Linked DNA regions of Stegostoma tigrinum. The protein of the gene in region 2 interacts with the protein of the main gene of each other region in a pairwise test. Links are inferred from orthologs where the notes say so. Each region holds a gene or a part of one and is shown on either strand. Other genes may lie near its edges.

Region 1 (7,928 bases), on a different chromosome or scaffold from region 2:
AAACACCAACATCCACTATAACCTAAAAAGTTCATCCAGAGATTAGATGAATCATACAAGCTATGATGATGGAGGGTCACTTCCTTGCCTGTAATGTGTGAGCTGATCTGAGCCACTGAAATACAAATGCCCTCATTAAAACTGCTACCCGATGCATAGTATTGATTCCATATGACTTCTGAAAGCAGAGTAGCTGCCTGGATACGTAGCAAACAATTTTTGGTAACAATCAGTGGAAAAACAAGGCTAGAAGCCTCAAACATAATCTGTATGTACGACAATCACAGTTCTGTGTGGACTGCATCTGATGCCTTCCTTAGCTCTGGTTACGCTTTACTAAGTTATCTTTTAAATAAAAAGAGGTTAAAAACAAATTTAATGGAATATTCTTTTCCTCCCCGCAGAGCTATCGCTTTTACTTTAAATTCCACTAAAAGTAATGGTGCATAACAAATCCTCCAATTCCTCCACCCAAGTGGTTATTCTTCAGGTATAATGCAGACAATGGACATAGGTAGATGATTTGACCACTTGATGCATCACAGTTAAACCCAATCTTAAACTCCTACATCTGTCCTTCACAGCATAACTCACTGAATTGCAGCAAAAACTTTTATTTTTCATTTCTTTATCTCAAAATGAATTGAAGCCAACTGTGGCATCTGAATACACCCTAAGACTACCTAAATTAGAAACGAGGGTGGAACCTGGGACCTCATCACCTATTAAACACAATGTGGAGGTGCCAGTATTGGACTGGGGTGGACAAGGTTAGGAGTCATATAACACCAGGTTATAGTCCAACAAATTTATTTGAAATCACAAGCTTTTGTAGCATTGCCCCAAAGTGAAAGTTTGTGATTTCAAATAAATCTATTAGACTGCAACCTGGCATTGACTTCTGACCTCATGCTAACCATTTGCATGGGTGAGATGATTACAACTATTAAAAACATAGGATGAAATTTTCTAAAATATCCTATTTCACAGAAGAGCAAGGATATGGAATTGATGCAGATATGCTCCTGCTTTCCCATTGAAAATAATTTGAAATGCACATCAACAAAAGCACCAGTTTCATCCCGGAGGCTTTGGAATGCACTAACTCTCGGTTATGACAGTCCCTGTAACAAATGATCTGAGTTCCCTTCAGGCACACAATTAAGAAGTCACAATGGAAACTGTAACCATTCACTGACCATTTTGTCATTCACAACCTAATTTCCTAGCAATCTTATTGATGTACACAAAAATGGGCAAAAACAATCCAAAAAATGATCAGACTTCTTCAAGTACAGAAATTAAAAACATCAAGTTACCTAACTATCACTTAAGCACACTGGGCACAGGGTAGGATCAGGGTCAAAATCATGCAGTGTATTAACATTGATTGCAGCTAATAAAAGAAGAGAATGCAGCTCAGCCAGGATAATCAGCATAATTCTAAAAAATTGGCATTTCTGGTTTCTAGCAGGATCATCATAATGAGCTGAGTTGCATTTCAACACAGGAATGGAGAGATGGGAACAGAAGAGTACATTCAGGAGCAGCATTCTTAGGCAGATAATGTGACTTCATCCTTACTTCCTCAATATTTTGAGCCAAGTTCTCTGTTCCCCCACCCCTTCTAATTACATGCATCTCCAAGTGCAAATGTTTTTATATCGACTTGTGGGACATGAGGGTTACTGGCTGGCCAGCACTTACTACTCATCCCTAGTTACCCTTGAGAAGGTGGTGAGGTGCCTTCTAGAACCACTGCAGTCCATGTGCCACAGGTTGACCCACAATGTCCTGGATTATACAACTACATATTAAAATCCAGCCTACAAGGCAGTTTCACTAACAAAGTTCCTTAATTGATGGCAATTAAATACACAAGGAAACAAACACATTGTGCACAATGCAGTAAATATTTAGCATTTCACCATTCACTAATACATCTTAAAACAGGGAACACACAAAAGAAATAGCATTGCAAATGAAGACAGAACAGAAAATTAGTCTATTATTCATGGCCTGCTGAAAGAAATTTTAAAAATCTCTTCTTTAAAGAAGAAATGAATTTTTCTCAGTTACATTTTATAGAAAAAAATGTGGATGAACTTTGAAAATAACCTCATCCCTTCACAAGGCAGATCAAATTCTAGAAATCCCTCAAACATTCGACAATCACTAAAAGGATCTTGCACAATCTGTTTTCAAATTTCATTGCTGAGATCAGATACCAAGTGTCACAGTTTTAGTGGAAAATGAATGGTAACAGTAAAGCATAAAGTATACAGTAGCAGCCTGCAGGTCTATGCCAAGGAAGAGGAGGAACTGGTGTATCTCTCATACAGCCCTGCCCTCGCCCGATATAGCTCACACCAACACAGGTCCCACAGTCCAGGAAAGCCCTTGCCACAGTCCAGCCCTCACCCAACAGAGCCCACATCAACACAGGTTCCTCAGTCCAGCCCTGAGCCAACACAGCCCACAACAGCACAGCGCCTTCAGTCCAACAAGACCCTTAACACAACACAGCCCACACCGCACAGGTCCCACAGCCTAAAACAACCCTCAACTCTAACCAGCATCTCACTTCCCTCAACACAGCAGCGCTGACCAGTCCAGCACCCTCACCCCTTTAACACTGGCCAGACCAGTACAGCTCCCACAGTCCAACAAACCCCTCTCAACACGGCCCTGCCGCTCTCTGATCCCGCTCTCCACCCCCTCGAAAAACAGCCCGGGTCCCCTCACCTCCAGCCTATCTTAATGCAAATAGCTACCAAACTCAACAAAAAGAATCTCAAACTCGCCTTGAGTTGGGATTTGGACACTTTTCCACATTTGTCGACGTCTAGAGCGGTAAATGCATGCCAGATCACTTTCAAAAGCTCATCTCGAAGCGCCATTCCTGTCTCTTACGTGACCGTTTTGCTTTCACTGTACAGTCACTGGCCGCAATCTCCCAGCGGTGTAACCCAACCCTTCCGCACGTCCGTTACCGGCTCGGCGCAGTTCACATTCCCAGAGAGGAACTCCACCCACAAACTACAGTGCCCAAACTGAAAGGGACTCATTGTAATTCCTCAGACTGCACCATTGCAGAAAACTCACGCTTTAAATCAAACAGTAAATCACAGAATTTACACGTAGATGTATTTTATGGCTAAACTGTACTCCACTTCAGAAACGCGAAGGTGCTTGTTCAAACCAGAAACATTGAGGAAATAATACTCAAAAGCAATTTATCAAAGGGACAAAGTGTTTTTAACCCGATCAAGTGCTCAATATTCTTCCAAAGTTGTACGTCAATTCTGAACGGTTAAACAAGTTGGCGCAAAGCAGGGCAGAATTGTCATCGGCTAAAATCACTCAAATTTTACAACCGACAATCTCCAATAAGAAGCACCTCTCAATTTTACCCATGCAACGCTTCTACGGGGTTACTTAAATGGTGGAAACAACTATGACTGGTGAGCAATTAGAACTTGAAGACTTTTGCCGATATTTTACTTTCATCATTTTTAAATAATCCATGAACCAAATAAAAAATACAATGCGTCATAATTTATACTTGTTCGGCGTCATTCATTTCAAAACCTCGAAATTTTTGGTTTAAGACTTCGGAATTACAGAATCTTAGAGCACGGCAGGCCAATAAGGCCATCATGTCTGTACTGGTTCTTAGAAAGAACAGTCGAATTTAGTTGTACTTGCCAAATACATGTCCAATTGCCTCATAAAATTTCCTAAATAATTTAATTCCACCCCTGTGTCAGGTAGTGCATTCTAGGTCACAAAAGTTTTCTGTACAAGAAATGTGGCTGTGTCCTCTCTTGTTCTTTTGCCAGTAATTTAAATTTATAAACTCTGCTTATGAACTCACTCTCCAAAGAAGTTTCTTCCTACTTGCTCTAGTTAAAACATAATAATTGTTAGGTCTCCCCTTAACTTTCTCTACCCGAAGAACGCAACCCCAGCTTCACCAATCTCCCAAAATAACTGAATTCTCTCATCGTGGGTGTGGATATCCTATGCACCTTCTCCAAGGTCTTGGCATCATTTGAAATTGGCACCTCCATGTTAAAATGATAACTTACTGAGATGTGGTCATCGCTATCTGGGCTAGCATTTATTGCTCACCTCAAACTGCCTTGAAAAGGTGGTGGTGTTGAGATGTCTCCTTAAAGCACTACAGTCTCTATGGGTAGGCAAACCCACATTGCTGTTCAGAGGGCCTTGGGATTTTGACCCAGTGACAGTGAAGAACGGCAATATAGTTGCCAGTCAGGATGATGTGTGGCTTGGGAAAGGAACACAGAAGGGAATTGTGCACAACACCCCATCTGAGGTAATAACTAGACATATAACAGAGGGCTACGCAGCATGTATTGCCCAGAAGGCAGTTCAGAGTCAAACACATTGCTGTAGGTCTGGAGTTACATGTAGGCCAGACCAGGTAAGGATGCCAGTTTCCTTCCTTAAACTTGCCTTTATTTATCTTACAGCAGTTTGGCTGTGGCTCAAGTATTAATCTAGAAATTATTACCTCAGAGATTCTACTTTTAAATTAGCTAACTGTTAAAGACTTTTCAGCAAGATCTCATTTTCCAGTTGTTGGTACTGATGTAGACAATGAAACTGGATCCCTCTCTAAGTTTTTCTTCAGCTCTTAGATGTCCTCAACCCTAGCACTGGGCAGGCAACACAGCCTGCTCATGGCTGCAGAGAACAGTATCTATTCCCTAATTATACTGTACCCTATCACAACAACATTCTTTTCTCCTTCTCTGCTTGAATGACTCCCTGTGCCAAGGTGCTCTGATTGGTTTGCTCATTCTCCCTGTAGTCCTTACTCTCACCTGCAGAGCTTGCAAGAACCTCATAACTGTTGGGCAGTTGCAGAGGATAAGCCTCCTCAGTTTTAATCCTCTGGGATGTCACACATGCCTCACCTGCTGTCCTCCCCCTGACCCTGATCACAGAACAATTTTGAATGACCTAATTTGGCTTCCAACTCCATATCATTTTGGATAGTAATTATCTCCAATTATCCATGGCTTTGTAACTCAAATAGCTGTTGGCATTAGGCAGCTAACCCATGTCCACTTGAAGGGGCAAATTTGAGATGAACATGATGATCTGTTCACAACCAAAAACAGAAATTGCTGGAGGAATTTAGTGGGTCTGGCAGCATCTGTGAGAGAAAGCAGAGTGAACATTTCAGGTCCAGTGACCCTTCTTCAGAACTGAAAGACATTTATCTTGTTGCTGTGGAAGCACCAAGTGGCATGCTCTGGGTTGCTGAAATTATTTATTCTTAGTCCCTGAATACACAGTCAGCAACCTAGGGTCATTGTTTCTTTATATAGGGGTGGCAATAGCCTAGTGCTATTATCACTGGACTACTAATACAGAGATCCAGGTAACGTTCCCGGGGCCCAGGTTCACCACAGCAGGTTGTTGGGAAAAACTCGTCTGGTTCACTAAATTCCTTCAGGGAAGGAAACTGTCACCCTTACATAGCCTGGCCTACATGTAACTCCAGACCAACAGCAATGTGTTTGACTGAACCGCCCTCTGGGCAATTCAGGATGGGTGTTAAATGATGCCTCGCCTGCAACACCCTCATCCTGTTAATGAGCAAAGAAATTACTTCACCCCATCTGTGAATGATCTTGTGCTTTACCCAGACATGACAAACATGAAATGATGCTTCAGTGCAGGCCCTATCTTTTGCTGCTGGTTTAGAAAAAAAAACTACTGACATTGTGAATAACTGAAACCAGATACCAAGTTTGTAACTTTAAAAAATTGAACAATTTGTTCTACTAAACCTACTGTGTCATTAATAAAGTTAAACTACAAAATAACCTAATTAATGTCTATGATTCCTTGATTCTAGCCCCCACAGTTAAGGGATAAATCAAGAAAAAAAAAGAGATGCAACTGGCCAGTTCACATAAGCAATCTCAAGGATGCATAATGTGACAGGGGGTGGAATTATGTCATTTTACTTCAGAAGACAAATTAAATTGAATCCTCTCGGACCCTCTGCATGGACACCATCTTTTTTAAACTCCTAATGGCATTTGTTGACCAACAGTCTCATGCCAGTATTCAAGCTCAGATGGAATTTACTTTGGGTTGTATTCACACACAACCCAGCATCAAGACAACCTGATCCCAATCAGTTAGAGATAATGGGAACTGCAGATGCTGGAGATTCCAAGATAATAAAATGTGAGGCTGGATGAACACAGCAGGCCAAGCAGCATCTCAGGAGCACAAAAGCTGACGTTTCGGGCCTAGACCCTTCATCAGAGAGGGGGATGGGGGGAGGGAACTGGAATAAATAGGGAGCGAGGGGGAGGCGGACCGAAGATGGAGAGTAAAGAAGATAGGTGGAGAGAGTATAGGTGGGGAGGTAGGGAGGGGATAGGTCAGTCCAGGGAAGACGGGCAGGTCAAGGAGGTGGGATGAGGTTAGTAGGTAGCTGGGGGTGCGGCTTGGGGTGGGAGGAAGGGATGGGTGAGAGGAAGACCCGGTTAGGGAGGCAGAGACAGGTTGGACTGGTTTTGGGATGCATCCCACCTCCTTGACCTGTCCGTCTTCCCTGGACTGACCTATCCCCTCCCTACCTCCCCACCTACACCCCCTCCACCTATCTTCTTTACTCTCCATCTTCGGTCCGCCTCCCCCTCTCTCCCTATTTATTCCAGTTCCCTCCCCCCATCCCCCTCTCTGAAGAAGGGTCTAGGCCCGAAACGTCAGCTTTTGTGCTCCCGAGATGCTGCTTGGCCTGCTGTGTTCATCCAGCCTCACATTTTATTATCTCCCAATCAGTTAGAGGTGGCTTTGTGTCTCCCATCTTCCACAGGCTAAGCTTCAAATCAGGAAATTGGGTAGTGGAGCTCTCAGATGAAGGTCTTCAATGCGCCACATTTCCTCCACTTGCCAGATGAGCAGGGATTCAACGCTGGACTCTCTTCTACCACCCCCCTACCCCGCACCCCCTCGCCTACCCTCTCACAGAGTGACTAGTGATATCCTTGTTAGCATTTTTCTCCCTCTCCACTTTGTAAGGAGTTTAATTTCAGTGAATAAATAAATAAATTGTTTGGGAAATAAAAACAGTTTATATCCTTAGTTTGTTGTCAACAATCTCAAGTATCATTACAAAAATGACATTAAAGATCATGATTAGAACTTATTGACAAGAAATCCTAATGATTTTCATTTGGGATGCCCCTAGAATTTCAGTTCTTTTGAACTGATAAATGGGAATGAGATGAAAAGACCTCTAATTAATTTAAGAAATCTTTAACACAATGCTCAGAAGCTACAATTCCCACAAATGTGCGTCAAGTATCTGAGAAATATTAACAAAGGGGAGAAACATTAATCAAAGAAAATAGCATGTAATGGATAGACAAGTTGCTGGAAGAAACAGATTACAGCCTCACCAGCTTTGACAAGGAGATAATATTGACTCATTTACTGAGGTTTGAGTGAGGTTATTGCCAGGGCAAAAGGGATGAACCTGTCTTTCTGATATTTGTAATGAGATTGTTCCAATAGTTCTTGTGTAGGGTCATATAATTTATGCTCTTCTCTTGTTTAACCAACTTTTGTTTTCTTTTATTTAAAGTGCATAGAGAGTCTATTGTGCATATGCTCAGTGACTGACCTCCTCAACAAACAAAAGAAAAAATACAACTCAGTTTATCAGGTCACTATCCGCTCGTAAATCTGACTTGTTTAATATCATTAGCTGGGATCATAACAGGTTATAGGCAAAAATAGCATGTACACGTGTTATGCATGGACAGGCCTGTCGGCTGCATCCTTTACACAATAAAAATGCACATCATCCTCTGCCCTAAACTTGACTCATCTGGTCTCTTCATCAGTGAAGGGGTGAGTACGCAGATGTA
Region 2 (7,795 bases):
CTGTCCTTCCTCTCACCTATCCCCACCTCCCACCTCAAGCCACACCTCCATTTTCTACCTACTAACCTCATCCCACCCCCTTGACCTGTCCATCCTCCCCGGACTGACCTATCCCCTCCCTACCTCCCCACCTATACACTCCTCTACAGGCTCCATCCCTGCCCCTTTAACTTGTCTGTCTCCTCTCCACCTATCTTCTCCTCTATCCATCTTTGATCTGCCTCCCCTTCTCTCCCTATCTCTTTCAGAACCCTCTCCTCATCCCCCTTTTCTGATGAAGGGTCTAGGCCCGAAACTTCAGGTTCTGTGCTCCTAAAATGCTGCTTGGCCTGCTGTGTTCATCCAGCTTCACACTTTGTTATCTCGGATTCTCCAGCATCTGCAGTTCTCATTATCTCAAATACCAGGGAGTACAGGTTTAAGGTGAGAGAGGGCAAGTTTAAAGGAGATGTATGAAGTAATTTTTTTTTACACAGAGTGTGATATGCGCATGGAACATTCTGCCACAGGAGGCGGTAGAAACAGATTATGATAGCAACAGACACATGAACAGGCAGGGAATGGCGAGATATGGATCATGTCCAGGCAGATCGGATTAATTTAGAATGGCATACCGGTTGGCACATACCAGTGGGCAGAAGGGCCTGTTTCTGTTGTGTGCTGTTCTATGTTCTGGCAGAGTATGAGATCCTTGCCTTTATCAGTCATGGCATAGACTCTATGAGCAGAGAGGTTCTGTTGGATCTGTACAGCACTTTGGTTAGGCCACAGCTGGAGTACCGTGTGCATATGAAAGAAGAGATTGAACTGAATGGGTGCAAAGGAGATTCACCAGAATATTGCCTGGGATGGAGCACTGGAGCTCTGAAGAATAGCTAAATAAGTTGGGGTTCTTTTCTTCACAGCAGAGAAAGTTGTTGGGGGAGGTGGATTCTGATGGAGCTGTAAAGGATTATGATGGGCTTGGACAAAAGTGAATAGAAAGCAGCTGTTCCTCTTAGTCGAAGTGTCATAATTATAAAGTGAAAGGCAGGAGGTTTAGAGGGGATGTGAAAAAAAGCATTTTCACCCAGAGAGTTGGGAAACTGGAATGCACCGCCTGGGAGCTTAGTTTAGGCAGGAACTCTCACAATCCTTAAAAAGTAGGTGGGCAAGCACTTGAAGTGTCATTAACATTGGCTATGGGGCTTGTACAGGAAAGTGAGACTAGGAGGTAGTAGGGCATTTTAGTTGTACAGACTCAATGGGATGAACGGTCTCTTCTGTACTGTATAATTCTATGATTTGATAAGCCTAAGTGAACATTAATGTTTCTCATTACCTGATATGAATTTCTACATAATTTGCTTTCATTGCCTTTACTTTCTTATTAGCTACCTTTTTTTAGATTATTATCTGCTATAATATAACAATGCCAGATGCAAAGCTTTCACAAGGTTAACTGTCATCTAATATTTGAGCTTGTATTACTACCTTGGAATTGGTTGTTCAAACACTATTTTAAATTGATATTCAATTTTAGTCAATCCACAATATATCACTGAATGACGTACACACTCAAAGTTTTCCGCGTTTGCTTATTGGGGTTTACTGTCCTGTGGATATAAACATAAACGTGTTTGTGTGTATTTTAAAACCAAACCATTTTGAAAGGTACCAAGTAGTAACCATCACAATTTCTGCATATATATTAGGAGCACAGTTCAGTTATCGGGTATCTATTTTACTAGAGCCACAGATTTAAAAGGTCGTATGTAATTTCAAGTACAAAATGTTGACAGATTTCACGAACGCATTTCGAGTCATTACTGCCAGAGGAAATCCGTAGTTGCCCAAGAATAAACCATGCAACGTTACTAATTTAAAGGATACAAACTCTGTAACATCGCTTTGATGTAAAAGGGAGGCCTACATCTCCACGCTGTCTTGCCTTTTAGCCACTGTTTTGTTCCAACTGATGGAAATGGACACTAAACTCATACCATCTTATCCCCACTGAAACACGCGGTTCAGGAATGTACATTTTTCACATAAAACGTTAAAAATCTAAGTCTGCAGTAATTGTCTGCAAAAATGACCAGTGTCGCTTTTAAAGGTATATATTTAAATACAGCTTCAATATTTGTGTAGGATTTAAATGCACAAAATAACACAATTCTCCTACCGCGTTGCTTACTTGTGCGTTTTAAATAAACCAGTCTGATTTAGAAACAAGGAAAATTGCCTGCACTGCATGATATGTATGTATATAGATTTATTTTAATATCGATATTACGCAGCGATCGAGGGATAGCATCTCTTATCCGCGTTACCATCTTCCATCCTGCCTGCCTGCTACTGTGGGATATTCCAAAATCATTAAGCGTCTTTGTTAGCATCACATCCCTTGATTTCATTTTCTGCAGACAGAAAGAATTCCCCAGTCGCGCTACAGCTAAGAAATCTCGATCGCATTATTTCTACTTCCTGCCCTATGTCGGGGGTTCCCAGTTGACATTCGCTACCTTTTATCCAGGCAAGAGATCCATTCTGATGATGCTGAGGACTGGGACGAGGTATGAGCAGCCACCATGGCCAGGGAGATCATGGGCTCAGCAGCTGCACGGACTTGTAGCAAACAAGAGAACGACGGAGTCAGGAGGAGCTGGTTGCTGCGAAAATCATCTCCTCACATTTACAGCTCCAAAGCTGGGAGCAAAAACAACCCCTTTTGACGTCAGAGTGCTGAAGCTAGACAGGAGCGCTTCGTGCCTCAGCAAAAGGGAAAGTGCAGTTTGCAGTCGAATGGCCACGGCAGCTGTCTGCAGCCAAGAGAGAGAAGGAACGCAAGGACCCAAGCCGCTGCGGAGAGCTGACAGCAGGGGGGGTGAGAGATACCACTGCGCTGCCGACTGAACACCAGCCCCTCTGTGCAACAAGTACAAACGTTCAGCATCTCACAGTGAAACCTGCTGCTCGGCTACTGTACTCCACATTCATTCCACGCCACACGTGACATCCTGCACTTTGCCGTCTTCCGATAAACTATCCGACTGAACTGCCGGTAGGGCTCGGTGTACACATTCAACATTGCGCTGGCAGTAAAATTGAAGGCGTTAACACTCAACGTAAAAAGTATCAGCATTACAAATATCCGGATTACAATGCTGATTATGTTTTAACTTGGTCCTAACTATATTAACGCTTTCCATTTAAGATCAGTTAGATACTTTGCAATAGAGGGCGAAGTCTTCACAATTCAAAGCAAGGTGAACAAGATTTCAAAAGCCGATGCATTATTATTATTATTAGCACTGAGGACTTACTGTATGGATCATTAATTTGCCTCTACCGTTTACATCGCTTGCACAGATCTCTTGCCTGACAGTTTCTTGTTGCGGCTGAATTGATTAATCTAGGGTGAAGATTATTAATACTGGGGAACTGACTTGAACACATAATTCATTAGGCTCACTATCCAATTAATCTTATTTACGCAACTTTAGAAGAGCAATGAAAAAGCGCTTACACCCAAAAGGACAATACAGTTCCCTGACTTGTTCAATGTCTGTAGAATTTGCTATTTTCAATTTCAGATTCGACAGGTTCAGTTTTTTGTGCTTTTTTTGTAGAATAGCACTGCATCAATGTAGAATGTGACTTTACCACAATCTTTAAACAATCTTACAGGAATTAAAACAGGGACTTTTTTTGACCTGGAGATTTAAACAAATAGTGCTGAATCTATGCAGTATTTTAAAAAAAAGACAGATGAATTAGCACTGAAATTACTACAATATTTCTGTTCATAAGGATCGACTGTATACGATATATAAGATTGCACATGTTCTTCAGCTAGAAATGTAAAACACAAAATCAATTAGGCCCAGAGCACCTATATAGCTCTCCAAAATACCTGCTTATTTAGTCCCATTGCATTGTCCTTAACCATACTGTATTTCCCCAAATATTTATACATTTCCCTTTTAAAATCCTCAATAATTTTTTTCTTTATTCATTTGCAGGATGAGGGTGTCACTGGTGAGGCAACATTTATTGCCCATTCCCAATCCCTGGAGGGCATTTAAGAGTCAACCACATTACTGTGGGTCTGGAGTCATATGTAGACCAGACCGGATAAGGATGGCAGTTTCCTTCCCTAAAGGACATTGGTGAACCAGATGGGGTTTTTTTCTAAGAATCAACAATGGATTCACAGTCATCATTAGACTCCTAATTCCAGATATTTATTGAATTCAAATTCCACCATCAGCCATGGTGGGATTCAAACCCAGGTTCCCAGAATGTTATCTGAGTCTCTGGATTAACAATTCAGCAAATATACCACGAGGCCATTGCCTCCCAACTATTAGCTGTAGCTATAAAAAGCTATTGTATGGCATTATTTCTGGTAAGTCACATTATGTTCTGAGATCCGTTCTGTTAAAATGCAGTCACAATTTGGGGACTTTTGACCTCTTCCACAAGAAAGATATTTTCAAAAGTTACTTCACTTCTACATGTATCAAAAGAGAGAGCTAAAGATGTCGTTGCTGATGGTGAGGGCAAAGTAAGTCAGCAGATTACAGGAAGACTGATTTAGAAGAATGCAGAGTTCCTACGGGGGTGCAGAGCTTGGGGCACTATGAAGAGATGTGAATACAATGATGGGAATGTTAAATTAAGCTGTTGTTGAACTGGTAGCCATTGTGAGTTTGTGAGTTCAGGGATGATAGAAAAACATCCTCTCCTAAAATAACAGCATAAGTTTGGTCAGTCAAAACCAGTTCTGTTGAACAGGACATTTAAGACAGGCATCACACTCCTGAAGCTACTGTTCTACTCAAAACTCGGAAACAGAAAGTAAATAAGAAAGAAACTAGAATTTTAGCCTTTCTTGTAACAGAGTTGGAGTTTAAAATCAGGGAAATCTTGTTAACAACAACACAGGATGTGTTGTGAGGCTGCACCTGGAGAACTGTGCACACATTTGTTTTGCGTATTTAGTAAAGAATATACTGGTATTGGAGACAATTCAAAATAAATTCACTGGGCTGTTTCCTGGGAAGAAAGGCTAAACAAGTTAGGCATTTTCTTTATTAGAGTTTAGAAGAATGAGGGAGTGATCTTATTGAGACATAAGATTTTGATGCAGGGCTCACACTGAGAAGATATTTCCAGTAGTGGGGATTTCAAACTAGGGACCACAATTGTAGAATAAGGTGATGTTTATTTAAAACTCAGGTGCAAAGAAATGTTTTCCCTCAGAGGGTAGTGAATGTCTGGAATTCTCAACTCCCAGAAATTCGTGGAGACTAGATCACTTGAAAGTATTTAACGAAAAAGTAGATAGATTTTTGAAAATATTGAGAAATTGAGAACTATTAAGAGCTGACATGAGGAAAGAGTTGAGGACTGGGACAGATCAGCCATGATCTTATTGAATAGTGGGGCAAGTGTGACAGACTGCGTGCCTACTCTGTCTTCTATTTCATATGTAACAGGCGGAGGCAGAAGTCTGCTGGGTGAACAGTGGAAACACGTTATCGAAGTCCTCAAAGCATCCCCGTCTACTCATGACAACCCCTGGCTTATGACTGATCAAGAAGATTCATTCTGGAAAGCATTGAGACATTTCATTAAGCACACAGAGGCAAAGTTATGGCATCGGAAGGCACACAAATTTCCGTCTAGCCACCCCTCCAAGCATGGGACCAAGTCCACAGGAGACGCTTTGGATTTATCAGTGATCTCATATCTCCTTGAATCAGAATGGAAACAAGTCATCCTCAAACCAGCGTGACAGAGTAAGATGAGTAGAGCATTGGAAATCTGAAAACTTTAATCTGCAGCTCTGAAGGGCAAGGAAAAGTATACAGCAGAAAATGGGTTGAAGTAGGATAGAGATGGACAACTATTTAAAAATATGGCTTTGAAACAGTAGGTGGATGAGATGCTAATAAACAGCTCTTGAAATTGCCTCATTATAGCCTAAACAACATGCAATTTCTTTGGTGCCAGATAACTAACTTTGTGGGGAAGCATAGTGTATTCATTGTTTTATATTATTGTGATCACAAGCTGCATTGATTGTATGAAAGAGATCAGATGATAACTTTTACTCTGCACATTCTCTCATTGTGAGAAAAGGCAATCTTTTGCTTTGTGTTTGCACTTGTTTTGCTAAGTGTTTGCATGGTCTGTCTGAGAACAAGTTGACAACATAGTCACACAAGATTCAAATACCCAGTTCAGGTGATAAGCTGCTATGCAAGAGGCTTAAAAAGGATTGTGAGTTAACTCAATTAAAAATACTCAGACTATTTACAGAAACCACAAACACCACTGAACCAGAACCCTTATCAAGGGCTATGGGGAGAGTGCAGGGAAATGGTGTTGAAATGCCCATCAGCCATGATTTAAATGGCAGAGTGGACTTGATGGGCCGAATGGCCTTACTTCCACTCCTATGTCTTATGGTTTTATGTCTTATGGTCTCCTTATGGTCTAAAACAGAGCTGAATTTGCAACAGCATACCTTCATTTTATTTAATTTAGTACCAAATGTGTACCTTCCAGGTGTCAAGCCACCTAACCAGTGAAAATTATTCTATTTTAACCTCGTAGGGTGAATAAATCATTATCTCCTGTAATGAAGAAAATGTGTCACATTTCATCCTAACCTCCTATGTTAGACTGAAAGTATGCAGCTTTTTAACTCAGTAATTACAACAAATCTATGCTGAGCAAAATAATTTGTAAATATGGATGGGAAATCTTACGAAAAAGTGATGATACTTAGTCATTAGCAATTTCTAGCATACCTATTATTCACCCATTGATGAAATATTCCTGCCCTGTTTGGTAGGTTTCAGAGAAAATTGATCACTTCCTATTTGTGTCGTTCAAAGCAATGAAGATCAGTGACAATAGGGAGGATGATCATTCCATACTTTTGTCTTGCACACTTTAAATCTGAAATACACAGTAAGAAAGAAAGAACTGCCAATTAAATCATACCTTTAACATCCTCAGGGCATTATAATTCGTCAAGGTCTGCTCTCAATACAGACACAGTGGCAGATAGTTAAAGGATGTTATTTTCTAGAAAACTCTGAATTAGTATGTTCATACTTTGAAGAAAAATTCTACTGCGAGGACCTATCATCTGTGGTGAACTAAAGAGCTTGATGAAAACTTCAAACATAAGGAAAAAGCATATAAATGTGCAGAGATGAGTTGCAGGTCAAATGGCTGGTCAATATAAAGAACAGCAGACAACGGCTATCAAGAAGCAGATAGTAGGCCTGATGGTCTTTTTTGGATTAGCACCATGTAACAAATGGTGTCACACAGGGATTGGTTCTGGGACTTCAACTGTTTATAATTTATATAAATAGCTTAGATAAAGGGACAGAAGGCATGGTTGCCAAATGTTCTGACAACACAAAGGTAAGTTAGGAACGTAAGTTGTGAAGACAACAATGACACCAAAGAAGTGTGTAGATAGGTTAAGTAAATGGGAAAGGATGTGACCAATGTGGTATGTGAAATTATCCATTTGGGCAGGAAAAATTAAAAAGAAGTGTACAATCTAAATGGTGAGAGGTTGCAGAACTTTGAGATTCAATGGGATCTGGGTATCCTCATATATGAATCCAAAAGGATAAATGCAGGTACAGAGAGTCATGAGGACCACTAATAAAATGTTATGAGATGAATATTGGAGTAGGGAGCATATGCTACATTTATACAGGCCATGGGTGAGACGTCACCTGTAGAGTATTGCATTGTTTAACTTATTTAATGAAGGCTG

Evidence for each region.
Region 1: the proteins of rapgef4a (region 2) and switch-associated protein 70-like interact in a two-hybrid assay, tested with the Homo sapiens proteins (2 studies listed by BioGRID and IntAct). The link is inferred for Stegostoma tigrinum from reciprocal best matches to the Homo sapiens genes RAPGEF4 and SWAP70.

What each region holds. Positions count from the first base shown.
Region 1 is NC_081370.1:27,202,142-27,210,069, forward strand, and holds the start of switch-associated protein 70-like, read right to left. Parts: upstream 3,018-7,928; 5' UTR 2,901-3,017; coding exon 2,805-2,900; intron 1-2,804.
Region 2 is NC_081360.1:48,901,007-48,908,801, forward strand, and holds the start of rapgef4a (rap guanine nucleotide exchange factor 4), read right to left. Parts: upstream 3,006-7,795; 5' UTR 2,588-3,005; coding exon 2,505-2,587; intron 1-2,504.